Caenorhabditis elegans: one gene and its partners. The protein of the gene in region 3 purifies or fractionates together with the protein of the main gene of each other region. This does not show direct contact. Each region holds a gene or a part of one and is shown on either strand. Other genes may lie near its edges. The genes, in order: elpc-4, mcat-1, dhrs-4 and cest-10.

Region 1 (7,258 bases), on a different chromosome or scaffold from region 3:
ACTGTTGACTTTCAAACAATTACAGAATCGATTAAAAAACTATTTACTGTTAGATACAGGTTACTTGGTATTACACACCCACTTCGCCTTCATACACTCTTCACTTTTTCCAAAGATCTAAAGATTGAGCACACAAGAGAAACTACAGAATGGTCAGTAATTATCGGCAGATTAAAAAGATATTTCCCTGCGTTCACACCCTTTCTTTGTCTATCCTAGTACCCATGAGAACCGTCAGATAACGCCGAGTTTTTTTTTGGAAATCGATTTCATATTCCAAGTTTGGTCAACAAGAATGTGTTGGGCATCATGTTTGCGAGCGGATTTGGATTGGCACGTAAATATAAACAAACGCTTCCTGCTCGAGGTGCGACCATGGGCTCCGCGGTATATAAATCACCGAGAAATGCTACATTTCATAGCCGTCTTCCTTATTTGTTTTTTGCCAGCTATCGATAACATGCTCAACACGGTTTTTATTATGCTACTTCTCCCCGCAGCAGGATTATGTGCTAGATACAGTAAGATTGAAATTCAAAGTTAGGCTGTGTTTACAGTGAAAATTCTAGATTCACACCTCGTCAAAGGATGGTCCAATTCGGATTGTGTTCGCCCTTGGCAACAACCGTTAATGAGTAAACCAACATTAAGAATACCATCGAGAGCTATCGAATGCCATCCAGAAGAACACGTAGGTCTATTTTATGAAGAGTTCAATAATCAGAACCAATTACAGGATTGTCCAACAGGAAGAAATGCGGTATGCCAATACTCATTAAGAAGTCAGAAATATGTCTGCTGTGAGGACAAGAAAGATGCCGACATCCCGAGTGAGTTGACGCGACGATCTCTTTGACACATTGCCGTCTTCCTCCCGCCACGTGTCAAAGAGACCGCACGTATCTCTCATACTTCCGGTACGATCTAATATTCTTCTTTCAGCATGTCCAAAGTTCTATGAGACTCTTCTCTTGCCATGTGGGAATTCAGTTGATTCGCAATGCCCACGTGGATACCGATGTCTGGGAAGTCTCGGAGATGATTCGGTTAAACTTTGCTGCAAACCTAACAGAACATTAGAATACAGAGAACCAGAACACAGTAGGTGGCTGAGATAAAAGAATAAGGACATAATATTATTACAGCATTCCGAGAGAATCGAATTGTCCCTCGTCTGTTGCCAGTTGCTCCGGCATATGAACTAATTGTATGTTAAATGATGAATATAATACTAAACAACTTGATTGTAGGCAACCTTTAGCGACGAACAAATATCGATGGGTCAACTTTTCGACGCTGATATACTGGACAAACTTGCAGATCCTCCAGTCATGTCAGCAGGAGTTGAACTTCAAGACGAGAAGCTCTATACAATTATACTTGCAGGTTTTTTTGCTACAGTTAATTACAGGTATAATAAGCATTGTTATTGACAGATGCTACCTCAAAGGCTGTCACTTGGCTGGTTGCAAATATTGCGGCATTTGATGGACAGCTTGAGATTCATAGAAGAACAAAGTCTGCTGTGTCTTATCAACCCCCAGATTCTACTGATAGACCAGTTGGTAAGCTCGAATATATTTTTTCGTAATCTTAAACACAAAATTTAAGGAATGCACACCATGATTCTTGCGCTCTATGAGCAGAATGACACGTGGACACAGAAAGATTTGGCTAGAATTGCAATGGATGATTTCAACTTTACAGAATGGCTTGAAGAATATGCCCATGTACTTCCTGCACAGGCACTTGCAGCAACATTTTATGGATATTCTACTAAAAAGGACGATAGAAAACGAATCTAATTTATAATAACTTAAGATTCCTATTTATGTACAAATTTTAATATATAAAAAGAATGAAACATACGATAAAAAGTTACTAAAAAATAATTAAAATGAGAAAAAAAAACAATGTTAAAATTAGCGGCGAAAAGCTAGATTATTTACGATAAACAACATGCGCGCCCGTCATTTCGGAGTCTCGTAGTTTCAACAATCTTTTTTTTTGAGGCCCCACGAAAAGGGGAGCAGAACGAAAAGGGGATCTGAAAAAAGGGGATCTGCGAAAAGGGGAGATACGAAAAGGGGAGATACGAAAAGGGGAGCAACGAAAAGGGGATCTGACACTGTGCCAAACGCTATTTTTCTCGAAGAAAACGATACAACGATGCTCCGATGTTACGCGTCGCGTGTTGTTAAGCGTATCTTCTAGAAGAAAATTTCAAAAATCAACGTGCGTTGCGTGAGAAAAATTGCGTTTTGTGCGTTTGGCACAGTGCCAGCTCCCCTTTTCGTTGCTCCCCTTTTCGTATCTCCCCTTTTCGTATCTCCCCTTTTCGCAGATCCCCTTTTTGCAGATCCCCTTTTCGTTCTGCTCCCCTTTTCGTGGGGCCTCTTTTTTGAGGAAATTAATTTTATAAAATTATTTTGAATTTCCTTTTTAAGATGCTTCGCATTATCCAACGTATTCCTACTGAACGATATCTCTGTACTCTTCCTGTGAAAAATCCAAAGCTTCACAGAACTAAAGATCAGAGAGATATTACGTAAGATTATGCTTTTTTAAACCTTCAAGTTTTTAATCAACAATTTTCAGAAACATGGACTTACTTGAAGAACAAATTCGTATTAAAAGCGCAGAAAAAAATCGCGAAATGACAATACAAGGACAGAAAGTGAAATGGGCTTATCGATCAGAGGTAAATTATATATACTGAAGAATATTCTAAAAACTGATTTAAATTGATTTCCAGCTTGTCGGCCGACATGACCTCGATAAAAATCATCGTAATACATGGATGGCTTACCTAATCATTATTCTTGTCGGATTCGGTGCGTTTGTAACAGTGAAATCTCAGGTGGTAATGGGTCGACGCCAGGAAATGGATGCTCGCGAAGCTCTCAGAAAGGAGCTGCAATTGAGTGGAGACGATCGAAAAAAGATTGGAGTAGTCTGATAATAATTCATATTGTTTTATTGCGGGTTTCTTTATATATTTTTTAGTTAGAACCCTATTTTTGTTTTTAGAAATAATAATTAGTTTGTTTAAATCTCATTTTTCTTTTCTGTTTCTCAAATTACATTATGGTTTGGTAATAACCTTGCAAATATTTTTATCGTAATTTCCTGGTCAACATCAATATTTCATATTTTTAAAGTAATTTCAGAATGTTGAACGTTGGTGATAGTGTTCAAATTGCCGGATGTTCAACAAAGAAACGCTTACTGGAAACTTCAAGTGGTTGCGATTCATTTGACACACTCATTGGAGGAGCTTTAGTTAATTCAAGTATTGTTCTCATAGGTAATTTATTAATTTAGTTGCTACCTGTTCATTAAATACCCGCTAACCTAAAATTAAAATCACATTCATTTTCAGACGAGTATCGTTCTCGTTGCTATGGATCTTATCTCATTCGTTCATTCCTCGCAGAAGGACTTCATCATGGTCATCGATGCTTCATTGCGGATCCCACGGAAGATCCCAAAGAGATCAATCTCATACCATCTAGAAGAACATCCACGGATATGCAAAATCAAGAAATTCCAAATTCTCTGCCGGCAGAAAATGAAAACTCGATGAAAATTGCGTGGCGGTATGGAAATGTAAAACAAGTTTCCTCTTCCCTTGGACCATTAAGCAACGAAAATCAGTATGACTTTACGAAGCATGTAGAGAATCCGAATGTTGACGTGTATGCGGAGAAAGTTTTTACGCTAAAAGGGATTTACGAGACGCTCTGCCAAATTGTAAAAGAAAATGAAGCTCACACAAAATCCGGCGGAAGAGGTGAGATTTTTATTGAATTATTATACATAAACTAATGAATTTTACTTCAGGTGGACCGAAAAAGAATCTTCTTCGAGTGGTTCTGAAGAATATCGATATGGAAATTTGTGAAGATTACAAGTTCCTTGGCCGATTCCTGTGCTGTCTCCGATCTTTAGCTCGTTCGAGTTACATGATTGTATACATCACGGCTAACTCCTTCAGAGTTCCGAAACCAACTTGGCGTATACTGGAATCCGCAGCTGATACACATATTCAACTGATGCCGTTTGATGAAAATGAGAAGAAAATGTTCAAACATCTTGGCACTGCTCATGGATACTTCCATTTGAAGAGTTTGCCCCGATTGATGTCCGTTGGAACACACACTCCACCGATTCTCGATCTTATTTTTGAAGCAAGTTCCAGAAAAGGTTTCCAAATTCGAGTGATGCATCTTCCACCTGCATTTGATGAGCCAGCTCCAGGTCATCAAAATACTCCATCTTGCCAGAATATTGATTTTTGATTTTCTCGATCATGTTTATTTGTTGTTGGGATGTTTGAATGTTGAATTTTAAAGTATTTAATTTAAAGCATAAAAACGTCTTCTAAATATTTAACAAAGCTTATAAATTATGTTTAAGAAAAGACACGCTGTGGTAGAGAAAGGATAGAAACAAATATACATGAAATGATTATCTGAGATCTACTTTTAAATTAGCAGAGAGAATTGGATCAGGACACGTTTCTTCTGGTTTCAATATTTTGTCACTAGCGGAGGAGAGACGGAACGATCCATCCTGACAATATGTAATCAAAAGATTGAGACATGGAGAAGAGAGATCCATCTCGGTGGGAATAACATCCAGTCGAAGGCCAACTCGGTTGTGCTGTCGGAACACGATGACGTCACTGGAATACCATTTTTAGTCAATTAAAAACAAGAAAAAACTAACCTTTGGTCAGCATGAACTCCAGGAGCAGCAGTATCCGATGCTCGCGATGATGGAAGAAGAAGCTGGATTGGATCACTGGAACATTGAATGAAACCATTTCCAGATTGAGGTGCGATAGTCAAATCCATTGCAGATGATGATAAGTTGGTAATAGAGAGAAATACGTGTGATGTCTCCCCAACTTTAAGATCATCAACCGGTCGAGACATTCTGATGTCAGGAACAAATTGACGGGCAAATGACTGAAATTTAAACTTTTTACATTATTGTTGAATGAGCTACTCACCGAAATTTTAAATTTAAAGGTAGTAACTCCGAAGTCTCGTTTGATAAGAGTTCTTTCGCACTCATCACATCGAACTTGAACTCTTCCAGCCAGAGGAACTTGTACAGGAAGGAGTGGCTCAGAGATATTGATCAATGGTTGCATTATGATTTGATCGAGAGTTCTCAGATCATCCGTTCTTTCTTTAATCTCATCTTCAAGAGTCGGCGCTTCTGTTGGAGCATGTGCATCAACTGGATTCATTTCAGGAGCCAGTGCTTTTTTCCGCTTATCTACCATTTGTTGAAATCCAAACTTGTCTTTCAAGTGAAAAGCAGTCCAGGCTTTGCCCGATTTTCCCTTTTTCAAATCTTTTGGAGCATTTTCAATCAATTCAAGTCTCTTCATGTATGCCGTCACCTCACCAAGTTGATTAACCAATGGATTTTCTTTTCTGTATAAATAAAATGTCATAAGATCATATTTACAGTTAGTCATACGTTGGCCAGGATTTAGTATTCTCTTGATCTTCTTGATTCGCTTCTCTTGAAGACCAACGACAGTACTGACAAACCAAATATACATTATCATTTTCTGTACGAGCACTCAGAACGTTAGCTGAAAATATTCAAATATATTTACAAAATAGTGGATAAATCATACCACACTTAGGACAATCATTGCAACTTGCGCATTTATGCTTTTTAAGTCTTGCTTCAGGGACGCTTGATGGTTCAAGGCATCGAGGACAGAAAATATTGTCAACTTCTCCCAAGCTACAGTCATCACACCTGGAAAAGTTGGTTAATTTTTTTTTTCAATTATTTTTAGACAATTACCCATTAAAAAAACTTACTTAATTTTGAAGCAATATCGGCAGAAAACAAGGTCCGGAAGGGTTCGAAATTTTCCACAGGTGCACTCGTATTTGATTCGACTGTACTGCAGCAACTCGCTCATATTGAGAACCGCAACCGCTCCTAAATGTTAAATTTTTAATTCGAAAATTTGAAAAAGTAGCAGTTTAATGTTATTTTAATCACAAAAATTAATGTTAAACTTAAATAATTATTTTTGTAAAAAAAACTATTTCACAACACGATCTCGTCCCTCGGCCGCGCTGAGATTTCTCGGCCACAGTATCGCACTCTCTCCTTTTAACATGGTCTCTCGCACGAGAAATTAGTACCCGCACAACTGGAATACGGAAAACTCAATTAATGTTGAAAATGCATATAAATAAATACGAAGGTTATTGAGGATGGAACACCTTTGACTTGACATCAATTACAAATATTTTAGAAAACAAATTAACTAATATTTTATAATCCGGATAGGGATTTCATTTGGGAGAAGATTGCATTTTACATACTAATTAAAATTGGGCTGGCAGGTCGTCGACGCAAGTGTATGTTATTACAGGAACACGATATTCTAAGAATGCATATTGCGCAACATATTTATAAAAATATATATTTGACGCGAAATAAACAAAATATCTCGTAACGAAAACTACAGTAACTCTTTTCATAAGTAACTACTGTACTGGTGTCGATTTACGGAAATAATTTTTAATCGATAAAATATAAATGGAAAACAGAAAAATGACAAAACAGTACGAATAAAACAAAAAAATAAAATCTCTGCCACAAGTGTTTTCGAACGGTAATTCGTTTCGAAAATCGGGACCGTAAATCGACACCAGCGCTACAGTAGTCATTTAAAAAAGTTTCGTAGTTTTCGCTATGAGATATTTAGTTCGTCAAATATGTTGGCAGTGAAATTCTCACTCGTTTTTCTTGGATAGTTGGGTAGAGTAAAGGGCTGGCAGTGAAACCGTACCAAACCACGCTATCGTGGTAGGCGTGATACAAGTAGTTGTACTACTTTGGCGAAAAGACCTTCCTAATCTGCAAAATCTTGAAGGTATACTGAAAATAAGATCGAGATTTGAGAAGCTGAAATTGTCGAACCTTTGATACTCATGTCAAAACTCCGATACAACATTGTAAATTTTTTGTGTGCTTAGCCTTCACGTGAAAAGTGAGTTTTCCACTGAACACCGTGAATTTCAGAAACATTTTCAGAGCGGAATTTACAGATTTCCAGAGGTCTTCGGCAAAATTTTATTTGATTCTGGTAGCTGATTACTTAATCTTTTCACAAAAAAATAAAGTATAACTTCTGTTATACTTCCAAGTTTATCCTAAGACCTAGTCAGAGAGGCATTTTTCTATTATATTCAGCACAAAAGAATGTAAT
Region 2 (9,136 bases), on a different chromosome or scaffold from region 3:
CTTTTTTGTTCAACTGCCTTGTTTCTAAAAAGGGTTTGATCCCCGGGAAATATCGATTTTTGGAAAAAAAATCAGAGACGAAGATATATACTCACAAACTGTATTCCCCCTTTTATGAACATTTCTTCAAAATTAAAAAAAAAACCGGTTTTGCATTCTGTTTTCTCAACTTTTCGATTATTAAAAAAATACATTCATATTTTAAACTTTTCCGGTCGATTCTCTATTAAAAAAATTATTTTTTGCATCAAAATCAACCAATTTACGAAAATTTTTTTTTAGAATCGTCGTATTTTTTCCGTATTTGCGACTGAAATAAAAAATCGAAAAAATCTTTTAGACAATTTTTTCCCCCAAAGGTTCTCACAATTTTTATATAATTTTTCAGGTATTCAGCACTGCCACACAAATGTTTTCCGAAACATTTGTACCGTCAATATTTTCATATAAACATCGACTATTACATCTTTCAGTGTTATTCTTCATAGTTCCATATTGGTATAGGTCTGTTTTATTGCAAATTTTTCTCAAAAAATCAAACAAAAAACTATTTTTTTCACGAAAAATCAATGGTTTAAAAAAATCACTAAAAATTGAACTTTTTTCCAAAAAAGAAATTTTTTTAAAAAGAAAATCACAAAAAATTAACTTTTATTCAAATCAATTATTTTTCTATAAAAATCACCGAAAAGTTGAACTTTCCTCAAAAAATGATTTGATTTTTTTGAAATTGAATCTTTTCCAAGTAATCACCAAATAAAAATAGAAAATGACTAAAGCTCAAATGTTTAACTTTAAAAAACGTTTTCCCGAAAAATCAATCAACAATTTAAAATTACACATTCTAAACAAATTGATTTTTTTTCTAAAAATCACCAAATAATCGAACTTTTTTTCCAAAAAAATCAATAAGAACGTCAAAATCAATTTTTAAAATAATTTGAAATCCAATTTTTTTTTTCATAAGAATTTGACTTTTTTAAATTTACTTCTAACGTAAATATTTCGTTTAAATTTTTTTTGTTTTAGGTTTTCTAAATAAAAAAATTAAAATTTTCGTAAATATTTATCGAATATTTCAGCTACTACAATGATCAACATCGTCTCTCGTCGTATTCAGTTGAGACGGCAATGTTTTTATCATGGGAGCGAGCAATCGTCAAGCCTGGAGCAATGTTCAAAAAAGCAGTTATAGGATTCAATTGCAACGTGGATCTGATTGTTAGCGGAGTTCGTGTGGTCGATGCGTTGAACACGACGTGTTCAGAAGGAAAAGATCAGGAAACACTCGAAACATTGGCAGATTTGCATCAAACATTTGCACATTTCTTCCAAAGAGGAGCCGCTGCCGAAAGGTAGAATTTCTTCGAAAGCTTGGATTCGTGAAATAGAAAATAATTACGTTGGAAAATAAATTTTATCTTCATTTTTAAAATTAAATTTCGAAAAAGGGAAATATAAAAAATTGACGAAAAGTAAAAAAAAATGAAATTATGAATCTTAAAATCTGTGAAAAATGTAGAAAAGTGTATGGAAGAGACGAGGAAAAAATTGGATTTCTAAAAATGACAATTTTAATTTAAAAAAAGGAGAAGCTTTTACAAAAAAAAAGAACTTTCGATTTTCAATTTTTCAAACAATAAGATCATATTTGTTTCAGATACATGTCATCAGAAGATCAATTCAACCTTCTCGTTGCCGAATCTGAAGCATCCACCCGATCCCACCATCATATCGGAGGAAACGCTGCGCTTATGGCAGACAGAATTGCTGCAAACTTCCCAAGTACTGAAGTCTATTTGGTTGGACCAATTGGGCCGCGTAGTCAAGCACTTCTTCATCCCAGTGTCAAACGAACGAATTCGACAAGAATTTTGAAAGTATGTGAAAGAGTCGGCGCAAAAATGAATATAATTGTGTGGTTTTCAGGACGAGCTGCACGTAATTCTTGAGTATAAGCAAGGAGAGATTCTCGGAGATTGGGTGGCACCGAGTAGCAGTCGCTTCATTACAAGTCATGATCATTTCAGTGGTTCGATGGTGGTTATGGAAATGTTCTTTAAAGCAATCGCTCAATTCCGTCCAGATCTTGTCGTTATCACCGGTGTTCATTTACTCGAATTTCAAAGTAAAGAAATGCGACAGGAAAAGATGAGGCTTATCAAGCGAAATCTTCTTCAAATCCCGCCGAAAGTTCCGATTCATTTGGAGCTTGGAAGTTTGGCCGATGAGATTTTCTCAACTGATGTTATCAATAAGATCCTACCATACGTAGATTCTCTTGGTATTAATGAGCAAGAGCTCACATTCCTGTCACATATTGCAAATGGACCACATATGGAAGAATATCCGGTACAAGCTGGAACCGTTCATGTGCACAAAGTTGTAGAGATGCTCCATTGGCTCTTGAAGACATATGGAAGAGATCCCACTGGACAAATTGCGTCGAAAACTGGATACCGGCTCTCTCGAATTCATTTCCATTGTCTCACGTATCACATTATGGTATCTTCTGGAACAGATTGGTCTAATCTTGCTGCTGGCCTTGCTGCCGGAGCCAGAATCGCTGGTCGATTGTCATGTAATATTGGAGCAAATACGATGGATTCGGAGCTGCTGGAAATTAGAACTCCGGCGAATTTTGTGTTGGATAAGAAGATTGAGAAGAATTATCAATTTGAAGCTCATAAGTATGTGAAAAGAGGAATCAATTGAGAGAAAAACACCGAATTAAAAAAAACACCAAAAAAGCTTTTAAGTTATCAAAAATCAATATTAAACTGAGAGTAGAATTTGTGGGTATTTTGCGTAAATAGACTGAAACTTGTCCAAAACCACCTAATTTCATAATGAGACTTCACAAAAAAGTTGCCCAAAACGTTTCGGGTCAAAATTTCAAAAAAAAAACCAAATTTTGCTAAAATCTGGAATTTTTCCCACTTTTCTTTGATTGTAGGTCGGGTTACTGTAATAGTAATGTAGGGGTACTGTAGGAGTACGGTAGGATTACTGTAGTTATGGGGGAAAAAGTTGTGTTCCTTTTCCTTATCAATCTGTTTCCAGCCCAATAGCATCATGGATGCGTGAAGATGTTCTATTCGTGTTCACACCTGTTCTTGTATGCCGTTTACCATCAAAAACCGTCGGAATTGATGATGCAATTTCTGCTACCGGACTTCTTTATTCACAATTTTATCGCTTGAATAGACCCACTCATTGGTAGACTTTCACATGGTGTCGGGTTATCCCATCACGGGTTGATGTACAAGAAATGCGGGATTTCTGCGTCTCGCTCACCGCATTTTTGTAGATCACACCGTGATGGGACACTCTGACACCACGTGTACTTTATTGTAAAAATTTGTTCATTCTCCCCATTTTTTGCCATTTTTTTCATGTATTTTCTCTTTTCCCCCCAAAGATTCTGTGAATTTTGTTATGATTATGTGCCTGTAATTTTTGTAAATGTAAATAGTAATAAATACCCTTTTTTTTCTAAATTTTGAATTTTGTGGTTTTCTCCATTTTTTCTATTTTTTTGCGATTTCAGGTAGTCTCATCAAAAAATTGACGATTTTTAGAAAAAAATCAAATATTTTTTTGAAAATTTTTAGACTTTTTGATGATTCAAAATTCTTATAATTTTTGGATCGAAATTAATGTTTATGTAAGTAAATTTTTGAAGTTTGAAAAACGGTATATTTTTGAAAATCGAAAAAAAATGTTTACAAAGCCTCAAAGTGCAGTACCGAAATCTCAGATTTTGCTTTTTTAGACCCAAGTTTTTGATTCCAGTTGAAAATCAACATTTTTTCCAGAACTTTGAACCGCCATAACTTCTTTTTTGTGAAATTTTCAAAAAGTCTTATTAGTTTCGGTAGTTTTTCGGTAGTCTAAAATGTCCGTCTAATCGGTAGTCTCGGTAGTCTATCGGCAGTATGAAAATTTTTGGGTAGTTTCGGCACTCGGTGGTCTAGTTTCGGTAGTCTAAAAAAGCAAAGTGTCAGATTTCGGAACTCCACCTTATGGGGTTATTCAAGTAGTGTCGGAAAATTAAAAAGTGTAGAAAAATTACGTCACAACTGTATTCAAGTATATAAGAAAAAACAAAAATGTTTTAATTTTCAAAAAAAACAATTTTTTCAGATGCTGACTCCATTTAACATAGCTCGTTGCTCCACACGACTTATTCGAAGAAAACCTCCAGGAGGTGGGATTCTGGATGAAGGAGTCACATTTTCAGATGTTCACAACGTAATTCTTAATCCAACGACACGGCTACCGTACCCAGAGGAGCAACTTCGTGAGCATATTGAAAAGACGTCAAGTGAAATTATGAAGGAAAGGAATAAAATTCGGTAATTTTGGTTTTTTTTTGAAAATTTTGAAATGAAGGAAATTCGAAAAAATTTAAAATTTTATTATTTGATTTTTTTCTCGGAAAAATCATGCAAAAAATAGTTTTTCTTTTTTAAATTTTCGAAAAATAACCGGAAATTATTAAAAATGTGGCCAAAAATGTACATTTTTGGTTTTTGAATTTTTTTCATTAAAAATAATTTAAGATCGAAATACCGATGAGCCTGGTACGGATAAAATAGGCAATTAAATTTTTCTTTTTTGAAAATTTCTGAAGTTCGGAGTTTTTGTTTTCAAAATTTCAAAAAAAAATTTTTTTCAAAAATTCAAATTTTTATAGAAAATCAACTCTACGATCGTTTTCGCTGTATTTCCGAATAAAATCACGTTCCATCACTTATTTTCCGTCTTGAGAGTACTAAGAATCAGATCGTTGAGATCGATGCACCATAAGCTTTGTCAGCCCATATATCGGTTAATTTTGATTTTTCAAGATACGGAACGCGCAAGAAGAAAGACTCTGGAGCTATTGATTTCAGTCAATTACCCATCGAAGAGCACGTCGTTCTATTATTTCCGGGACAAGGAGCACAATTTGTTGGAATGGGTCAAAAGGTGTTAAAGTAATAATGTTCGGCGCAATTGTTCAATTTTTTATTTCTACAGGTGATGGATATTCCAGCGGCACGGCGAGTTTTCGATGAAGCATCCGAAGTTCTAGGATATGACATGCTCAAAGTTTGTCAAGATGGTCCCAAACAGAAGTAATAAATATTATTCTCTGAAAAAATTAGAAATCTTTATCAAATTGTGCTCATGGTGAAAAAATACCGGCAAAAATACGTTTTTTGCCCGATATTATCTAATTTTCGATTTTCAAACAGTACTATTAATGCTTCTGGAATCGCCAAGCATATTTTCAAAATCAGGAGTGGGTGACAATTGCCGTTCGGCAATGTGGTTGTCGACAAATTTGGCAATTTGCCGATTTGCCGAAATTTTTCAATTCCGGCAATTTGCCGATTTGCCGGAAAAATCGTTTGCCGCCCACCCCTGTTCATAATATTGTCTGAAAAAATTTAAAAAAATTGCAGACTTGAACAAACACTTTACTGCCAACCGGCCATCGTAACGTCATCAATAGCAGCGTTTGAAGCTTTAAAAGCATCAGATCCGTCAATCGAAGAAAACCTGACTGATACAGCTGGATTTTCAGTCGGAGAATATGCGTCACTTGTTGCCGGGAAAGTTTTGAGCTTTTCAGATGGTAATTTGGTTTTTGTGTTTCTTCAATTCTTCTAAAATTAGACTTTTCCAGCTATCAAGATCGTGAAAACCAGAGCCGAAGCAATGTCAGAATGCGCGAAACTGGTGAAGAGTGGAATGGTTACGATTCGAGTAAAAGCTGCATCGAAATTGGATAAGGCAATGGCAGATGCCAGAAAAGTGGCGGCGTAGGTTTTTTCTCACAAAAATTTTCAAAAAAAACCTGCGGTTTTTGCAGGAAGAGTACAAAAAACCCGACGGAAATCATAAAAATTGAAAATTTTCAGAAAACTATTTTCCAACATTTGAAACTACTTTTATCGAAAATAAATTAACTTTGATGCGAAAAAATAAATTTACTTGAAAATAAACTAAATCGGCAAATTTCCTGAATTGAAAATTTCCCGCAAATCGGCACTCCGGCAAATTGCCGGAATTGCACATTTCCGGCAAATCGGCAATCGCCGAAAATTTCCAGCAAACCGGCAAATTGCCGGAATTTAAAATTTACGGCAAACCGGCAATTTACCGATTTGCCGGATATTTCAACAAAAAAACCTGCCGAACGGCCACCCAAACCCTGATTGTTCAAATTTCCAGTGAAAACCGAGAGCTTGTTGTATGTGAAGTTGCCAACTATCTGTATTGCGGTGTCCGAGTAATTGGCGGATCAGAAACGTGCCTAAAATATTTGGAAGAAAATCAAGAGAAATACAATATTCAAGTGATGAAGAGACTTGCAGTTTCGGCAGCTTTTCATACACGACAAATGGAGTCTGCCGTCGAACAGGTGTGTGCTTCTTTGCTATTTTCAAAAATTAATAACTTTTCATAGTGGTACGGTAGAAGTACTGTAGTTCAAGAAAAAATAGTTCTCATCCCCAGAAGTCGGGGCTGCGCCGGAGGTACGGTTCATGGCTGGTTAACAGAAAAATATTAAACAGAACCTGTATTTTCCGATAAAGTTGTTTTTATAAGCTTTCCTCATGTTTGTGTTTTCAGGTGGCAAAAGCTTTCCAAAACGTGGAGATTCATCGTCCGGTGTGCAATGTCTGGTCAAATTATAGTGGAAAAGTGATGTCATCGAAGAAGGGAGACGTTCGTGGAGCTGTCGCCAAACAAATCAATTCACCGGTTCGATGGGAACAGATTCAACAATCGCTGTTCAGAAAACATCAGGTAAATTTCAAATTTTTCGTGGTACTGTAACTTCAACGCCCCAAAACACATTTTCTTGCGCGCTGACTCAAATATGGTGAAGAATTTGGATTTTTCACATTAAAAAATTTCAGAACGAAGCATTCCCCCGCTTCTACGAAGTCGGTGCAGGACGTCAGCTCGGTGCGATGCTTTTTCAAACATCGAAAAAGGCTCACAAGAATTATTCACATTTCAGTTGCTGAATTGATTTTTTTCATTGTTTGTGTTATATTTATGTTAGCCTTATATATTATGTTAGCCTTATATTTATTATAGTTTCAATTGTTGAAAATATAAATTTCAGGATAATGAGTGCCCGTTTTATTCTAAAATCATTCAACAAACAACTTTTTATTTTTGCCCAATTCTTTTTTCAGCCATCTGTCCTTTTTTTTGGGGGGCAAAAAAATTCTAAAAATGTTTGAAATTATATTAAATTGAAAAAGGGCCATTTTTAAGGGTTCGGAGATCAATTTTGAGTCCTCTAGCTAAAAAATGAACCATTTTAGAGAAGTTTCAAAAATGTTATTTTTTGCCACTTTTAATAGTTTTTGATGGGTTAAACTTAGATTTTTTGGATTAAACATGTATGAATTACCCGTTCCCTACAAAAATAAACAACTTTTTATTTTTGCCCATTTTGATTTTTCAGCCATCACATAATGACTGTCCTTTTTTTTTGGGCAAAAAAATAATTTTTCTAAAAATGTTTGAAACCATATATTACCATGAAAAAAGGCAATTTTTTAGGGTTTGGAGATCAATTTTGAGTCCTCTAGCTAAAAAATGAACCATTTTAGAGAAGTTTCAAAAATGCTATTTTTTGCCACTTTTTTGCCATTTTTGCCACTTTTTAATAGTTTTTGAACGAAGTATTTCCCCGTTTCTACAAAGTCAGTGCAGGACGTTAGCTCGTTGCCATGCTTTTTCAAACATAGAAAAAGGCTCACAAGAATTATTTTCATTTCAGTTGCTGAAGTGATCTTTTCATTGTTTGTATTTATTATAGTTTTAATTGTTGAAAATATAAGTTTCATGATAATTAGTTTACCCGTTTTATTTATAAATCATGAGGCGAGATTTCAAAAAAGGATGAGATACGAGAAAAGTATTATTGGAATATGCGGAGTCGAAGACGTGGAACTGAAGACACTGTACTCCGAAGAAGCCTGCGGGAGGACATAATGGCGACGCTCGGGGAGCACCGTGCGTTTTTGAAGTGAGAGCAGCGACTTGCAAGCCGCGGGCAATTGATCGGAGATACCCAGTTGAGAATAGAGCTGCTCGAAACTCGAAAATCCGACAGTGATGAATCGAAGCATCATCTTTGCCGCTTGATCTCCACAGCCTGCTCGTGTTACGGGCTCCACACATTCAATCATGGAGCCAAGTTTTCTGAAAGAGAAATTTAAGTTTGTATTGAAGGATTGGCTAGTTTCTTACTTGCAGAGCATCTCGAAATGAGATCTCAGGTTGTGATGCTCCTTCCGTAGTACTGTGACCGAAAATCGATTGCTTGCGGCTAGAGAATCATTGATCTGAGGTCGGCACTGTTGGAGGGCAATCTTTTCGTGTCTAGAAAATAGAAATGCTGAAAGACCTGGATGATATTAGGCAGTTCGTTTTTCGTTCAATTGGTATACTTACTTACTTTGCTCAAAAAAAGCGGGAAGCTAATTGTACGACAACTTTAGAATTTTTCACGTGAAAGTAAGCATAGCCAGGGTGCAGGTATTCCCGTGCTAATAAAACTAGACACTACAGGAAACCAAAAAATGTCTACATTACTTTTTTTATATTAAAGTATTGTCAGTTTACTTAACTCGATTCAGAATAGTCGGTACATGTGTACCATTATTACGTCACATTTTTCAAATTAATTTTTTAAATGGAAATCTGTATTCAAATATTCATGCTTGGGAAAAATAGGGCCGTTATGGGGACGCCCCTCCCCCCGCCCCAAGCAAATTTCGGTCATGCTGCACTTGACCCCTTAGCCTAAACAAGACTCTGTTAAATCGATTCTGATCGACGTCGAAGTCAGTCCAATCGACATCAAAGTATGTCAAAGCTGGGGACACCTGCATCGATTGGACGTACTTCGACGTCGATCAAAATTGATTTACCAATGAGATCTATACATTTTCAACTTGAAATGTAATATGTGAATGATATATGCACTTGGTAACTTACTCGGCAAGGCATGGAAGAGATCGGAAGAATTCTGAAATATTATTGTCATTTGTGTGTATGTGCCTTTGAACCACACCCCCCCCCCTTTTTGCCTTATGAAGCCCTACGGGGAGCCCAT
Region 3 (7,537 bases):
CTTGTTATTATTTCGTCGATTTCCTCCACCTCCGTTTCTATTGCCATTGGCACCCGATGATCTTGGCGGCGGCGGTGGTGGTGGTGGACCACTTCTTCGATTCGATCCAGATCCAGACGATGAAGGTGGTTTCATCGGTCGTCCATTTCCATTATTGTTACCATTATTTCTAGGCGGTGGTCCATTATTCCTATTATTATTGTTATTGTTGTTATTATTGTTTCCTCCTCCCCCATTTGCAGTTTTCTTAAACTTCAGTCCCTTGCACAAAGGTTTCGGCTCTGGGATTGGAGGTACTGGTCCATTTCCTCCACCATTTGATCCACCAAGATCTGCTTCACATCCATTTTCATTTTCTTCGTAATCTGTATCTGGCCGAGGTCTTCTAGGACGGTTTCCATTGTTATTGTTGTTGTTGTTATTCCCATTCCATGGACAACCACCATTTCCACATTCTTGACTGTTTCCACCTCTGTTTCCATTATTATTTCCTCCTCTTCTATTGCATCCACATCCATCGTTATTCCCTCCACCATTTCTTCTACAATTCATTTCACATCCACCTCCAGAGTTTTGATTTCCTCCACCTCTTCTTCCATATGAACATCCATTTCCATTGCATCCATTTCCATCACCATCTTCATAATCATCATCTTCGTCGTATTTACTTTTTCTGTTAGGATTTGGCATCGATGTCGATCCAAGACTATTTTCAATCATTGACTCAACTTTGGGTGAAACTATTGGACCTTGAAATGGGCCGGCTTGATTAAACGGAACTATTGGATTTCTGGGACCACGGTTTTCTCCGTCAGTATTTCCTTCATCCTCTTCACCATCATTTAGTCTCCCAAACGGACGATTAGGACGAAACGGGCGGGATTTAATAACAGGAGATGGTTCTGGAATACGTGGCAATCCTGCTGGTGGCACATCAATTTCATTTCCACAACAAATGAAACGACGAATTTCTCGATTGAACTCGCATTTGAAACCACGGAGACATTGCTGAAGGAAACTTTTTTAAATTTTGGTTTTTGTTTAGACCCCCTCGCTCTACTCACTTTCAAAATGTTCAGTATTTTTAAAAAATATTTCTAGTCAACTTTAAAAATAATAATTGGACCTACATAAAACCAAAGCAGATCAGTTTAAAGTTACGGTATGTGGAAGTTTTCTACCGTGTAAATTTTTTTGGCTCACCGTAAAATAGCAGTCTCTCAAGCGATTTCCATAATCAATTAGAACTGTTTTATCTGGATCATTACATTGAGGGCGTCGAGATGGTGCAGATCTGAAAATTTTGAGATGATAAAAATATTTGTATGTTAAACTAACTTAATAGTGGTTGTAATCAACATGGGTGGCTCTGTGGTAGTAATAATTGGTACTTTTCTACTTTTAGTTTTTCTTGGTTTCACAGTCGTTGTTTCAAATTCCCATTCAATTTCTTCTTCTTCGTCTTCATCACTTGATAGCTTTCTCACTGATTTTTTCTCTTCAATTTTCAAATCTTCTTCCTCTTCTTCATCAATTGGAAATATTTTTTCATTGTCCTCCTCATCAATTGGTGCAACTGTAACTCCCGGTTTTCGTTTTGACATTGGAGGTTTCACAATTTCAAGTTCCGATGATAGTTCAGATTCTGGATTGCTTTCAGACCAGCAACAATAGTCCTATAAATTAATTGATTTCTTAGCAATGGAAAGAGTATAAAACGTTACCTGGAATCCAGGAATCAATATAGGAAACCGTTCACAAGCTGTTCCTCCAGGACAGCTTGTCTCATTGTAGACTCCTAGTTGTTGGGTACACAGTTGTAAATCACCACTGATTGGGTGAATATACACTTTGTTGCCTTGAAATAATGAAGATTTTCAAAACAAAATTCAGAAATTAAAATATAAAATGGATTTTTGAAATCAGATATTAATACCATTTTCTGAAACTAGAAAGCCTGGAAAATCGAAAGAATTGGGGCATCCAATGCTTGTATTTGAATAATTATTTTTCATTAATTCTAGGACTATTTGAATTATAAGAAAGAACTAGAAACGGAAAAATGAATATTGAAAAACGAGCTCCGAAAACCCGAGCATAAAATAAGCGAGCCTACTAGGATCAGACAAACTATTTTTATAATTTCCAGAATTAACAGTTTCTTGGAATATTAAAAAAAAACGTTCTCAAATATTTTTGAATTCAAAATACTAAACAATAATTTGGGAGCAAAGAATTGGTTCAACTTGAAATTCTCGAATGAAAAATTCAAAACATACCTGACGGGCAATGAATTCCAATTCCCGCATCTGCGAATATTTTCATAAACTTCTTTGCTGAAACAGTTTGGGAAACGGTGGCGATGGCAAGCCAACAAAGAAAAATTCGTTGCATCTGGGCACATCAAATGGGACGACGAATGGCAGCAGACTCAGTGTCCACCAGGAGACAGTGCAAATGTCAGAGCGAGGCGGATTTGGAGCGCCGCCGGTCAGAGCAAATAGTGTCAAATCTGCCTTCTTTTTCTTCCGATTTCCTCCCGAATTATTATTTTCGGTTGATTCAGACCGGAAGCAAATAGAAACTATCATTAGGTGTTATGAATTTGGGTGTTAAGGGTGAAAAGGTGTTATGAATTTGGGGAAAAAAAATGAGCAAACAATTAAAACAACTTAAAAAGCAAATTGCAAATGTATTTATTGAAAAGATAATTAAATAGCTAAAGACGAGCTTGAACACCTCCAGCAATAATAATCATTTCTCCTGTAATATATGATGAATCATCAGATGCCAAGTATGCTACAGTTCCAGCACAATCATCTGGTACTCCGAGTCTTCCAAGAGCAATTTCTTGAATATCGGTGAGCTCCTTCTCTGCGTCTTCACCACCATCCCAAAGCTGGAAAATATTTTGGTAAGAACTCGGCAAATCTCTCGTCATGGAGCGCGGACGGGGCGCGACTAGATCACGGGTTCGCGCTCCAGTCACCCTTTTTTTCGCGCTCCTTACGCGCCACGTCCGCGCTCCAATTGCGTTTGCTCCGCGCGCATTCCGAATTTGAAAAATTCTTACGAAATTTTATGGGACGCGATCAGAGCGCCAACGAGGCGCGAAAGGAGCGCGAAAAAACGTGTGACTGGAGCGCGAACCCGTAATCTAGTCGCGCCCCGTCCGCGCTCCAGGAGGAGCGATTTGCGGAGAATATATCCATGAATTTTGAACTTTAAGCTAACAGCTCAAGAAAACCTTTGAGCAATTTTGGAGAAACTAAATTGAAATTCACACCATTTGTATATCATTAGATTACTAAAAACTAAATATTTGAAACAAAAACTTACCACTTGGCTCATTTTAGTTTTGATAACTCCAGGAGCAATACCATTAACTCGAATATTATCCTTGGCCAATCCCATCGCCAATGCCCTTGTTAACCCAACAAGAGTAGTCTTGGTCACACCGTATGCAGCAATTCCTGGTGGACTTTTATAGGCGGAATACGAGGCGTTGAAGATAATTGCTCCACCACCTTCTTTGGCAATATGTGGATGTACAAGTTTTGTCATTTGGAATCCAGCCTTCACATTTACCTCAAACAGCTTATCCCAAACTTGATCCGAAACTTCGAGAATGTGACCAAATGCTGGGTTAATTCCATGGTTATTCACAAGAATATTAATTTTTCCGAACTTTTGAAGAGTCTAAAAAATAGATAAATGTATTGAAATTGTAATTTTTCTTTTTAATAAATATATCTCACAAAATCAACAAGTTTCTTCTGATCATCAGTGCTTGCAATATGGCCAGCAATTCCGGCAACTTTCGTCAATCCTTTGTTCTTTAAATACTCAATTGCTTCATCAACATTCTTCTGATTTCTGCTTCCAATAACAACGGATGCTCCTTCATCCAGTAGTCTTTCAGCAATTGCAAGTCCAATCCTATAAGTTATTCAATTTATTATTTCAAAGCTTTTATAAAAAATAGGGACAATTTTTATAAACACTTTAGAAACATGTATTGATTTTCAAATGAAACAAAAACAATTGCGAAGATATATTTGAAATAATAATTGGTTTAAAAAAATTACTGGAAAAACTTTACCAAGGATTTCTTCGAACAACTTAGTAATTTTCCAAAAATCATTGTCTCACCCTTTAGTCGCTGCAGTCACAATTGCAACCTTTCCTTCAAAACGGCGGCAGTTGCTAGGCATTATTACTTATTTTCTGAAAATTGTATGGAAAAAATGTTCTAAATGAAATACGTTTTCTTAAATAATGTAAGTGAAATAGACGAAAATGCGACCATTTTGAAACAAAAATACAAAAAGTGGTGGTTACAATGATAAGATCACTACACTATTCCCTTCAAAATAGGCTACAGTGTAGTGTTCAGGAGAGTGAACAGATAGCAAAAACAATATAAAATACTTGAAAACTGTTTAACAGATAGAATTGGACAAAAATTAATTAATGCACTTTTTTATGTTTAGATATTGAAAAATTACTTGATAAAAATTTTGTTTGACTTTTAGTCTTTACCACGTAATTTTTTTGTCCTCGACTAGCAGTCTACTATAACTACCATATAGAAGCTAAGAAAAATCGCAGCACAAAAATACAACACAGCTTATTTTTCACTCTAATAAGAAAGTTAAAAATTATTATTAAGTAATCGGAAATACAGAAGATGAACTAAAAAGAGTTATGAGATAACATTTTTTAAACAGTTTGTTGCAGGAACGACAAACTTTGTAATATGCCGTCCTGGACCATTTCGTCAAGCTCGCGCGCAATAAACCCACACATTCAATCCAAATTCAAGTCAAAAATTTTCTTTCATCTGTTTCGTATGGAAAGTTCGTGATGTTCTTGATTGAAATTTCAATGTGTTAACCGTGTGACTCCTTATCAATTTCGTCATCTATAATTTCTTGATAGCAAAAATTTATAAGGAAACTGAATTCCCCCAGAGATCACATCAAATGTCAGAGACACACTTTATGTGTTAATGGAATACAGTAACTTCAAACAAAGCGTTTGATAAAATAACATTTTGAGAACATTATTATGTTCTTTTAACCGGATTGAATATTACTTATCCAAATAATAATTATAATTAAACATCTGAAATAAAAGTATCACTTCATATAATTTATTATTTACAATTTCCGAAAAAAACAACGTCACAATTATGATATGCTGGCAGGATAAAGCTTTTTTGCGGTTGATCTTCTATTTTAGGAACCGTTCAAAACATCGTTTCTCACAATATCAATAATTGGTTCATAGATGTCTTTCGGTGCACGGAGTCCCCAGATGAAATCGAGATGGTTGTAATCGATCAACTTATTGTTTTGCTGAAAATACATCAATTTGAAAAAAAAATCATTCAGAGTTTACAGAGTCTCACCACAACAGTTGATGGATTCAAGTGCGTTAGCAAGAAATCTGTGACGTCGGTCGGGTCGGCAAGCCAATCAGAATCGCCCCAGTACAAATAGACTGGTCGGTTTACAGTAGTGAAGTCGTATGCTGGAACATTTGCTTGTCCGTAATGTTTCTTATTTCCCTTCTCTCCATAGTCATATTTTGGAGTGCCTCCGTGGCGGACCATTTGAATCCAGTGAACAATATTTTGAGTAGAAGTTCCTGCGGGTGTATGTGCCACATAAATTGGAACACGAGTCTGTAATACAATTAATTTCTCATCACCTTTCCTGCAAAAAAACTTACTGCGTTAAGCTGGTTGGATTCCGGCCCAGCAATGAGGAACATCACATCGTCACAAACTCCAGCTTCAACTTTAAGTCCAGCGCAAACCGATTCAGAGACAAGCTTCATAATCCAATTGTTTGGAAGGAATTCACCAGAACCAAATACATCAAACCATCCATCAAATTCAAGGGAAAAGTAATCAGCAAAGAATTTCAAAGCTCCTTTGATATGTTTAACAGATCCAACTGGAGCAAGTGCAAAGAACTTTTTAATTTTATTTCCCCATCCAACTTTATCCTCAGAAAGTCTACTGAACATTGTAAGTGTGCCTTGTGAATGTCCAATATAATATAGACTATCTTGTCCAGTAACTTCTAAAGCTTTCTCAATCATTGCTGGCAAATCATATTGTTGCATTTCATCCCATGACCAATCCCAGAATGCCGAGTGAGATGGTTTCAAATTCTTGTGTTTCATACTGTATGTGTTTCCACGGAAGTTTCCAAGCCATACATCATAACCAGCGTCAGCAAAAAGGAATGCAGCGGACTCCGTTGGCAAATTGACAACCCAGTTGGATGATGAGCATTCAAGACCGTGTTGCATGAAAACTACTGGTTTCTTTCCATTTGGCCATGTGACATTTGCTGAAAAAGTGAACTTAACAACATATATAATTTTTTTTTCGTTTTGTTTTCCTTATATACAAAATGAGACGTTTTTTAAAGAACTGTAAGAGAACTGTGTAGAATTGTTTTTTGTGGTACTTGAAGTTTGAAAAAAAAACACAATGACCTGGGGCACTCACTTTTTCCATATGGAATTCTGTGTAATTCCAAAATGTATCCATCTTCAGTTGTTACATCGTATATCATTGCAGGATATCCCCATCGCATGATTATTTGTGGCTGAAAACTAATGGATAATTTCGTGCAAAAAAATTATTCAGAAAAGCAAATTTTATTTTTTAAAGAAAATATTGGTTCATAAGAGATTTGAATCCTTCCTTCTACTTACCGTGGTCATCTTCATCTCCGGATCCGCATCATGTCCGAAAACAGTGGCTGCTGTGGCAAGCACAGCCAACATAACCGTGCTCCAGGATCTCATTTCAACCAGAGTCTACCTGAATAAGTTCTCTGTTATCAAACACGTTGTCGGCCATGCTTTTATCACGATTTTCCTGTCCTTAATTTGTGCACAATTATTACTGTGCCCGCCCATTTTTCCTGTTTCCTGACACAATTTGAAGTTTGATCTCAGGAAATAGACTGGTGCAAATGAGACAAATAAGAAATAGTGAAGGTTTGGGGAGAAGTTAAATGAAATTAACACATTTTGATGAGAAAATAGTTATCTGAGTAACAAAGAACGAAAAACGCAGTCACGGAAAGGAGTCGTAGTTTTTGGTACATGTATTCAAATCAACAGTTACTGTGACAACTTTCCTGTATGATAATTGATGTGTGCCAGATTGAACATAATATTATTCTGACAATGTTTTAGTAAGTCAGGAAAATGAAATAAAGAAAGTTTCTGAAATATTTCCACGTGGTTTTTTAAAAATTATTTTCATCGCTTTTTTATTATGTTTCTCTGCAACGGAAAAATATTTTTTTCCAATTTTTCGACGAAATATATTCATTTTTAGTTTTGATGCACTAATAATATCACAGATTAGAATGGACAACACAACTTTTTTCATGAAAATTATGATTTTGACTATGTTTCTCTGCAACCGTACCAAACCTTAATCAGCATGTGTTTCATGAGAAAATGTTTGTTGACCATTCAAATCCGTGATCTCGGCAATTCGGCG
Region 4 (8,637 bases), on a different chromosome or scaffold from region 3:
TCTCACTGCTTTTCATATTAAGAAAATCACTGGAACATACAAACTTATGGTCCTTATTTTCACTTTTATTGGAATTGTTTTTTCTGCTTGGGAGCTAGTTGCTAGACCATTTGCTCACAATTACAATAAAGCGTTGATATATTTTAGTCTAAATTCATGGCTACAGGAGTATCCAGAGTTTCTCCAATTTGCTATAATACTCTTTGCAAGCTTTTATTTGGTTATTTTGGCAATTATTGCTGTTCAATTTGCTTTTCGGTACTTCACTCTCTGTAAACCACATCTTTCCAAAAAGTTTGGTGGATACGGAGTTATAGTTTGGTTGCTCTATTCACTCATTTCTGGGTTTATATATGGAGGTGCATTAGGCTATTTCGGATATCCTGATATCTATTCAGATGATTACATGAGGTAAGAACTCAAAGAGCCCAATAGAAGATGTATTCAATTGTTTCAGTGACGTAGTTGAAGAATGGTACAACCGCACAATAACCAGCTTCCCGCGTTTTCTTATAATTCCTTACGTGAGTTTCAAAACTTTTTTAGAAAATTCTATGAAACTTTTGATCTCTAAAGATGAGGGATATTTAATGTAGCTTAATTGAAGATTATATTCAAATAAATTGTTGTATTTTAGGCAGCAGATGGTTCTGTGAGATGGCAGAATATTGATTTTTTGATCGTTGGAGTTTTTATTTTGGAATTACAATATGCCATAATTATTTATTGTGGTGTTCGAATGCATACAATTCTTCAAAAAGAACTTCAACAACAATCAATTGTCAACCAAAAACTTCAAAAACAATTCTTCAGAGCTCTTGTAGTACAAACCGTTGTTCCAACATTCTTGTTCGTGCTTCCAATAGCTCCATTTTTAATTGGTCCGTTACTTGAACCAATTATTGAAATCGGAATGAACTTTCCAACTGGATGGATGTATGTTATATTGACTATCTATTCACCTATTGATACAATCGCATTTATGATGATTGTTCAAGAATACAAAAAAGCTTTGAGAGGTTTGACTGAGAATTTGGAACAGTTGAAATTATACTTTTTCAGAAGTTTTTCATCCAATTCTTCCTAAGAGAGTCAAGGTAATGAGCGAACTTACTATGCCAACAGGCCCAACGTCCACTTCCCGAGCAATTTAATTTGATATGAAAAAGCCTGCAAATCATTTTTGTTTGTGCATTTAATTTATTCATTCAGATTAAGAACTTTATAATTCCAATAAAAATGTTTATGTGATCTGTGTTGATAAAATTTCACAAATCAGAACACAATAGGAACAAAAATTTTCAACTGCGAAAGCACTATTATGAGCAAAATATGAATCATACTCATGAATTGAGTCACAACCAAAAAAGTAGTGAAAATAATATAGTTGATGTTATAGTTGATGATGTATGTTATAGTTGATGATGATGTTATATTTTTTTGGCTATCACAGTTTTTAAAAGTTCTCACTATTTTTCTTTTAAAAAAATCATAAAAATTCAACAACATATCCAGTTCGGTTTATTCGGCCGGCATTCAATTTTCTGAAACTTTTAAGTTTGAACGTACGAGAAGCTTATCGTGTTAAGCATCTCCCATTTTGAATACAAACCGACAAGAAGGAAAAGATTAATCCTAACTTTCTCCAAAGTATTTTACTTTACCATTCATAGTTCTATTTGCTTACTCATCTCTTCATTTTATTCTCTACTTTTCAAAGAAACAAGTTCAGGTGTCAAATAGTTTCTCTGAATCACTATTCGCTTTTCGTTTAAGCCCCCTTCTTTCCACATGACGTAATTTCAATTCAAGACTGCCTGGGACTCTCATCATTCCACAATCTCTCACTTCACAGTGTAAAGCTTCGGTCTTCTTTTCCTCTAAATGCCCATTATGTCCTTGTAACCTTCAAGCGATTACTCATCAACAGGTCCCGATGGTATAAAAGGGAATTGAAAGGGTCAAATGTCATAATCAAACTATACAATAAACATGACTTCCAGCTTTTTGTATGTTCTTTTCACTGTTTCTTGTTTGGCAGCACTTGTCTCAATTTCTGAAGCATGCTTCGCTTCGGGAATCTGTGGAGGAGGATGTCCTCCACCACCACCTCCAATGTGCTCGGGAGGTAAATACAAAAACTCTTTCTTTAAAATAGAAATTGAATTCTTGATATTCAGGATGTGGAGGTGGATACTCATGTGGTTCATATGGATGTTATAGAGCCAGAGCTCGAGGATCAAAGACTCTTTCTTTTAAAAAACCAGTAAGACTTTCAATCTCACAGAAAATTCTAAAATTATCAATTTCAGAGTGAAATGAACCCAGATGAGAGATTCATGAAGTGCTGTGAAGATCGTAACCTGCCAGACTCTTGCCTCTCAAAATGCTCTTACCGTTCATACACCAAATCAGCTCTTCAATCAATGTACTTCAAGCAAGACTCGTGCCCAATGCAAGCAGCCGCTGACATTCAATTCTGTGCTGCTCAAGGAAAAGATCACACCGCGTGCTGTGCTAGAAATGCAGTTGGAACTACATTAGCTGGTAATAAGGTCAGTTAAAAACCAGACTGTGATTAGCTAGACAGAAATATCTTCGAGGGCGAAAACATGACGTTGTTTGTTTTGAGAGAATACATCATCTTATGCGACTAAAAATATATTTACGACATCTCACTCAGACTAGTTTTGAAATTTAAATATTGAGCAATTCAACAGTATCGACTGAGAACAATAAATATTTTATGAAAATTGCAGTGCTTCACCTTCTGTGACCAACGTCCAGGAAACGTCACTCAACTTGATATGAGCTACTTGGCTTGCTATGACCGTTTCGAGAACATGAAAGCCTGTTTCTACCAGAAGGCTTCTGAAGCTTCCGATCCAATAGTCTCATTCAGCAATGATCGTGACAACAACAGAGAATTTGCAGTTGACACTGAAACCGCCGAATTCCGCCGTCCATCTCAAGAGCACTTCAGAGCCCCAACTTCTCCACAACTCCCACAAAACCCACTTTTTGCTGTCCAAAACTTGCTTGCCAGAACTTTCGGACAATAATTGACACGAATTGCACCGGTTTTTGTACATTTTGAGTTTTGTATGAACTGATTTGATTAAAACTAAATAAATTTTATAAGTCTGTATGAACTACAAAAAGGAACAATTTAAAACTACATACTTCACACATCTGCCAATCAGTTGTGCATATTATCTTATCAGTCTGCGTCTCCTATCATTTATAACAATCTTTTTGGACGTCCATTTGTTATCATTACAATTATAAAGTAAACCATGCATTTACTTCCTGGTATTCAAATTTTATTTTTATTTTCATTTTCTTGTTTTGTTGATTCTGTTATAGTTGAAACTTCTCTTGGCAAACTGAATGGAGATCAAATTGGCAACTTTCACTTGTTCAAAAAAATACCGTTTGCGAAGCCTCCGCTGGGGAAATTACGGTTTCAGAAACCGCAACCTGCCGAAACATGGAATGGCGTTAGAAATGCAAAAGGTTTGTGTGCTTATGGAAAATGAAAAATTATGATTTATTAAAGACTACGGACCAGCATGCATGTCAAACTCATCGACAACAAAAACTGTTCAGAAATGGGTTGATGAAGACTGTCTTCACTTGAATATATTCACATCTGAAACTTGTTTGGTGAGTTGTAGAAATCTTACTTTTAAAAAATAATTAAAAAAAAAGGATTATCTGCTAAAAGATCTTGAACACCTCTGAAATTTTATACATTTATAACCTTTCCAGAAATCTAAAAACTGTGCAGTCGTAATATATCTACACGGAGGAAATCTGCATTATGACTCGGCTGTAATGTTCAACGACACTTTCCTTCTACACACGTATGCCAGCCAAGGTTGTTTTTTCAAATTTAATTAAATAAATTCCATAAATAAATCTAAATTTCAGAAATAGTTTTTGTGATTCCCGCTGTTCGTCTTGGTATATTTTCTCATTTTGTGGTAGAAGATCAAAGTATTGCTCCAAACAATTTAGCTCTATTTGGTAACATTTCTAGCCATTTTTATTTCAAAGAAAACATTTTCAGACATGCTTCAAGCAATGGAATTTGCCAAATCGGATATTCATAATTTTGGAGGGAATAATAAAAGGACAACTCTTTTGGGGCACTCGTATGGAGGAACGGTTGCGTCTATGTTGAGTTTTAGTACCAAAGTGAATACAGATCTCAGGTAACTTTAAATAGTTTGTTTCAAGCATAAAATCTGATTTCAGTCTATTCCAACAATACATCAGTATGTCATCACCTACTAACTTTGATACTTTGGAACTTCAAGTTGAAAGAACTTATCGATTTGCGGAACATGCAAATTGTCTTCCAAAGAATTCGAAATTTATGAGGAAAAATCAAAAAGAAGTATACATGAGAGACTGTTTAAAAAAGAAGAGTGCTTCTGAATTACTCAGGTAAAATACAATATAAACAAGTTCACACAGTCTTCACTACAGAATTCAACGAAGTCTTGAAGAAGCTGGATATCCAGTTTATGGAGGATCCGTCATGCGAGGGCCTATTTTTCAAGAAGTTCTGGAACGAGATTTTATGGATTCTCCGAACAATATCACATCTTTAACAGGATGTACAAAATATGAATCTTTAGTTTATGATCACTATCGTAATATGGGAAAAGCTTTGGGATTTGAAAACTATGAAGAAGTCAATGAAAAGTATCGAAGTGATAGCAAGGAAGGAAAAATAGGTGAGAGTTTTGAATTATATATTTACTCTTAAAAATACTAAATATTCAGAATTTGATAACGTAAAAAATGCAACTCAAATAATGCTGATTCAAATTAGGACGAGAGTAAATAAAATATTAAAAAAGAACATTCCGGTGAGCTTTTAAATAAAAAGTTACCTCAAATAAAATTAATTGGATTTCCAGGCGTATCACTACGAGTATGCTTACCCGAAACATGCCAATCATACAGATGATCTCTTTTTCATAATGGGCGTTCATCCTTTTATTCAAGACGAAAATGAGATTAAGCTAGGAAATTTTTATAGAAGCATGTTTTTAAACTTTATCAAAACCGGGAACCCGGGAAATGGATGTGATGGTGCAAATTTGAATGGATCAACATATTTTGAAGTTAATTGGAATGAAACTACCGGAGAAAGACCAGTGATGAAAAATAATTTTGAGCAAAAGGTAAAAACAAACTGTTTACATGCCAACTCTAAAAGTAAACGTATATTTCAGATACTGGATTACTGGACCAAAAATATGATAGAATTCGATCGAGAAGTATCATTATTAAGAAACATTAAATCTCGGAGACAACCAGCATCAAGAGTTTTTTCAGCATATTACAGCTTTATGTCATTTCCTCAAACTCTATTTATTTTGTTCATTATTTTCTCATCGTTCGCTACAGGATATATAGCTTCAAGAACTTGTAGTATTGCTGATCACGACAGAAGTTTATATGTCCGATTAGATGGAACGGATTATCCAATTAAAAATTAGAATGTGTGTACATTGTTTGATTGTAACTATTTGAACTGTTTTCCAAGCCATTCCCTACTTGCCATTTTCAAATGTTTGAATTCCTGAAACAACTATATTTCCGACGTTTCAATATCATCAAATGTTGCCAAAAATCTTGAATACTTCCTTGTCGAAACTTTTTTTTGTGTCAATCGTAATTTTTCAAATAAACACGTTATCACTGCTCAATTTGGCATGTACTAGACATTTGATGACACTTTTCTTGAAAAACTAATTTTTCATTTAAAAAAACATTGTCTATAGCTGATAGAAGAGAATTTTATGTTAATTTTATGTAATAGAGTGTTCGAAATATCGTACGTTCTTAAAATTTGCAGACATTTTTCAGTTTCATCTGTATTTTTTTGATGGGGAAAAATTAAAAAAAAAACATGTCCAACGCTTTTCGATTTTTTCGAGGAAAAGAATAGATATTTAAACAATTGACAAACGATTTAATGCTGAGATCATCAACATTGATCCGCAGATTTGAGCGTTTCATGAGAGAGTTTCATTTGGATGTCGACTTAAACAAGATCAACAGATCAACATACTTTATGTGAAGTTAATTATTTTCAAGCATTTTTCAAAACATCAACGTAAAATTAGCCAGCTTCTTTTCCACAAGCGAATCCTTTAACTGGGGCGTCGTCGAGTACTTTTGAACACCTGAAATAGTCGCTTCGTTTAATTGTTTTTAAAGGTGAGACATACATTTCATCATCGATAGTTCGATTATTTGCTGTAATCCACAATGCAAGACAGTCCTGGTGAGGACCGGAGTCTGGGCCTAACCTATCTGGATTGTGTTGTTCCCAAGTGTATCCTTGTTTTTCCAATAGAAACTTGTCCTCGAAATCAAACCCGTCGAAACTTACACATCCCTCCTTTGTATTAAAAGTTAGCTTTTCTTGACATGTTACTTTTCTGACACCGTCTATCCATATTCGCTCGGTAATCTTTGGTTGAGAGGGATATCTTTCTACAAGACTGTAGGCAGTCTCTTAAAATTAAGATATGATACCGGGAAACAGATACAAATAGGCTTACTCCAAATATGATAAGTTTCATTTTCTGTTTCCAGTCCAGTCAAAGCGGCATTATATTCGTTACATGCCTTACTTGCTTCAACATGAGTACCATCTTGTCTGATAACTTTAATACACCAGCTGCCACGGGCCCTGTCAAAGTGCTCCCATTGAGGAGGACAACTCTTCATAGCTAAAAATTGGGCTTTTATGAAAATGTAAGCATAACTAGAAATTGGCATACCACTGTAGGAAAAATTCAAAACATTTCCATCCTCAGAAAGTTGTGTTGAATATTCATATTGCGTCAAGTTGGAAGTATTGTTGAAATGCCCATTGATAGTTCCTAGTTCAAAAGGAGTACACATGCTTTCAGTTATCGGGTCAAGTGAAACTGTCTGGAAGAACATTTTTAATTTATCAACCATATGCGCTAACTGTCCTAACTTTTAACGCGATTATCATGTTTCCACGGAACCTTTTCTGAATATGCATAAGATTTTGAATACTGCACAGTTGACATTCATTCGGCGTTGTAAGATTTGCTTGAGCAATCTAAAATCTTAAATTTTGTATTAATTGTTGTAAAATTTGTCAACACACCACACATGTATCATTTTGAGCACACGAAGTAACACAATCCTTCCACGTCTCCTTCTGTGCAAATTCTGTGTCAATACATGTCATAAGAGCTCCATGATGAATAATCATTGTGTTTAATGCATTCTGAATTATGAATGTTTACTCAGGTAATTCTTTAGCGTACTGCAAGCTAGTTAACTACTTTGCAGAGAAGAAGACTGGAAATATCTTTGACTTACATTTGTCGGTATAAAACAGAGCAGAGAAATCCACCACATCATTTTGTGCTCGTAAAAATGAAAACAAAAGAGATTTCCGTGTATGGTTGTATATTGAAAAACTCGTTCTACTTGACGTTTCTGAGGTTACCAACAAAGAAAATTCTTGGACCACTCGTGAGTTGTTCAGAATAAAAATTTATGTGAAAAATTTTGAACACAAATGGAAACGGACGAGTTCAATTGTTCAATAGTTCAAAAAATGGTTTTTACAGCGATAAATTGTGATTATGAAGCTTTCTCAAACAAATCCTCAAATTCTAGTCAATCTCGGTTGCAGTCATCTGAATTTTATTGAATTTTTTTACATCAAATCTTTCAGGAAACATTCCATCAAACTATAACATCAAAAAGTTTCCAAAAAAGCCATGCACATATTTTTTGGAGCTGTATACAAAATATTAAATTTTTATACAAAACAACTTGAAGAAGAATCGTTTTAATATATCTGAAAAAAATTACAGAAGAGAATACAATTTAATACTTGACAAAACATGGTGGATTGGAGGCAAAAAAAGCAAATAAGTATATTTTATGTTTGTCCACATTTTGAGAAAACTACAGAAAAAATAACTTAAAATTATGTGTTTATGATGCATTCAAACTAGAACGATGATCGAATCTCACAATGGCACAAGTTGTTGTATTTTGGGTCCGGAGTCCTGTCTTCTCAAGCGTCATTTTTAAAATCCACCGTTTTACTGTATTGAAATAATCTGAAACAATTTAAGTACAAGATTGGATTATAAATAGATATTACCAACCTATAGTAGCGGCTTTATAGTTCCAAATAACGAAAATATTGGGTAATGGGTCAATTGAAGGATAGAATACAATTGACATTGCAGGTATTTGTCCAAGTAATTCAAATGAGCTATTGAAAAATGTAGCTATGAAAATAAAGAAAGCAGGGGTGTGCATTAAAATTACGGGAATTATAGTCTGAAGGATCAATGCATAAAATAATTGAGATTGCAGACTTTTGAATTGAGCAGATTGAGATGATGATGGTAAAACAGATTTCATGTAATTGTAACTTTTAATGCCAATATAAAGAATTACCAATGTAGAGACAAACTGAATATATTATGTTCCGTTTTACGATTTGTTTATTTCTATAACTTACATTAGCTAAAAGCATGCACCCAATTCCTATAAAGGGTTTCCAATTGAAATAGTCTACTCCTGCAACAGATTCTGGATAGAAGTATG

Evidence for each region.
Region 1: the proteins of dhrs-4 (region 3) and elpc-4 fractionate together in Caenorhabditis elegans (co-fractionation; one large-scale study listed by BioGRID). This does not show direct contact.
Region 2: the proteins of dhrs-4 (region 3) and mcat-1 fractionate together in Caenorhabditis elegans (co-fractionation; one large-scale study listed by BioGRID). This does not show direct contact.
Region 4: the proteins of dhrs-4 (region 3) and cest-10 fractionate together in Caenorhabditis elegans (co-fractionation; one large-scale study listed by BioGRID). This does not show direct contact.

The regions. Positions count from the first base shown.
Region 1 is NC_003282.8:8,013,833-8,021,090, forward strand, and holds elpc-4 (Elongator complex protein 4), read left to right. Parts: upstream 1-3,161; 5' UTR 3,162-3,171; coding exon 3,172-3,307; intron 3,308-3,382; coding exon 3,383-3,793; intron 3,794-3,843; coding exon 3,844-4,301; 3' UTR 4,302-4,389; downstream 4,390-7,258. Other genes in the region: C26B2.8 (C3H1-type domain-containing protein), read left to right, coding at 461-521, 570-691, 737-830, 943-1,101, 1,146-1,207, 1,251-1,386, 1,437-1,565, 1,612-1,805; C26B2.7 (Cytochrome c oxidase assembly protein COX20, mitochondrial), read left to right, coding at 2,448-2,548, 2,599-2,701, 2,756-2,959; dnc-4 (Dynactin subunit 4), read right to left, coding at 4,471-4,687, 4,732-4,973, 5,018-5,450, 5,497-5,614, 5,660-5,787, 5,853-5,956.
Region 2 is NC_003280.10:86,530-95,665, reverse strand, and holds mcat-1 ([acyl-carrier-protein] S-malonyltransferase), read left to right. Parts: upstream 1-4,146; coding exon 4,147-4,358; intron 4,359-4,853; coding exon 4,854-4,974; intron 4,975-5,025; coding exon 5,026-5,123; intron 5,124-5,453; coding exon 5,454-5,626; intron 5,627-5,677; coding exon 5,678-5,813; intron 5,814-6,225; coding exon 6,226-6,415; intron 6,416-6,627; coding exon 6,628-6,804; intron 6,805-6,917; coding exon 6,918-7,028; 3' UTR 7,029-7,137; downstream 7,138-9,136. Other genes in the region: C50D2.7 (putative ADP-dependent glucokinase), read left to right, coding at 410-504, 1,083-1,355, 1,661-1,880, 1,930-2,690, 3,064-3,223; C50D2.6 (CPG4 domain-containing protein), read right to left, coding at 7,908-8,220, 8,269-8,400, 9,019-9,049.
Region 3 is NC_003283.11:12,919,298-12,926,834, reverse strand, and holds dhrs-4 (Dehydrogenase/reductase SDR family member 4), read right to left. Parts: upstream 4,228-7,537; 5' UTR 4,215-4,227; coding exon 4,153-4,214; intron 3,940-4,152; coding exon 3,759-3,939; intron 3,700-3,758; coding exon 3,340-3,699; intron 2,900-3,339; coding exon 2,720-2,899; 3' UTR 2,679-2,719; downstream 1-2,678. Other genes in the region: pqn-67 (Clip domain-containing protein), read right to left, coding at 1-1,008, 1,204-1,294, 1,339-1,676, 1,725-1,858, 2,280-2,394; Lipase lipl-1, read right to left, coding at 5,241-5,360, 5,414-5,689, 5,737-6,365, 6,527-6,626, 6,736-6,828. UniProt on the Caenorhabditis elegans protein: Catalyzes the reduction of isatin, 4-oxonon-2-enal, 9,10-phenanthrenequinone, menadione, 2,3-hexaenadione, 3,4-hexanedione and 2,3-heptanedione.
Region 4 is NC_003282.8:7,177,270-7,185,906, forward strand, and holds cest-10 (Carboxylesterase type B domain-containing protein), read left to right. Parts: upstream 1-3,265; 5' UTR 3,266-3,296; coding exon 3,297-3,516; intron 3,517-3,559; coding exon 3,560-3,666; intron 3,667-3,771; coding exon 3,772-3,880; intron 3,881-3,933; coding exon 3,934-4,029; intron 4,030-4,072; coding exon 4,073-4,217; intron 4,218-4,260; coding exon 4,261-4,452; intron 4,453-4,494; coding exon 4,495-4,745; intron 4,746-4,794; coding exon 4,795-4,880; intron 4,881-4,931; coding exon 4,932-5,198; intron 5,199-5,249; coding exon 5,250-5,516; 3' UTR 5,517-5,724; downstream 5,725-8,637. Other genes in the region: str-44 (Seven TM Receptor), read left to right, coding at 1-411, 458-524, 638-1,019, 1,063-1,154; dbd-13 (DB domain-containing protein), read left to right, coding at 1,993-2,128, 2,181-2,266, 2,313-2,555, 2,760-3,062; clec-179 (C-type lectin domain-containing protein), read right to left, coding at 6,143-6,206, 6,252-6,540, 6,588-6,758, 6,810-6,963, 7,013-7,120, 7,169-7,291, 7,387-7,428; str-249 (Seven TM Receptor), read right to left, coding at 8,014-8,141, 8,190-8,502, 8,552-8,637.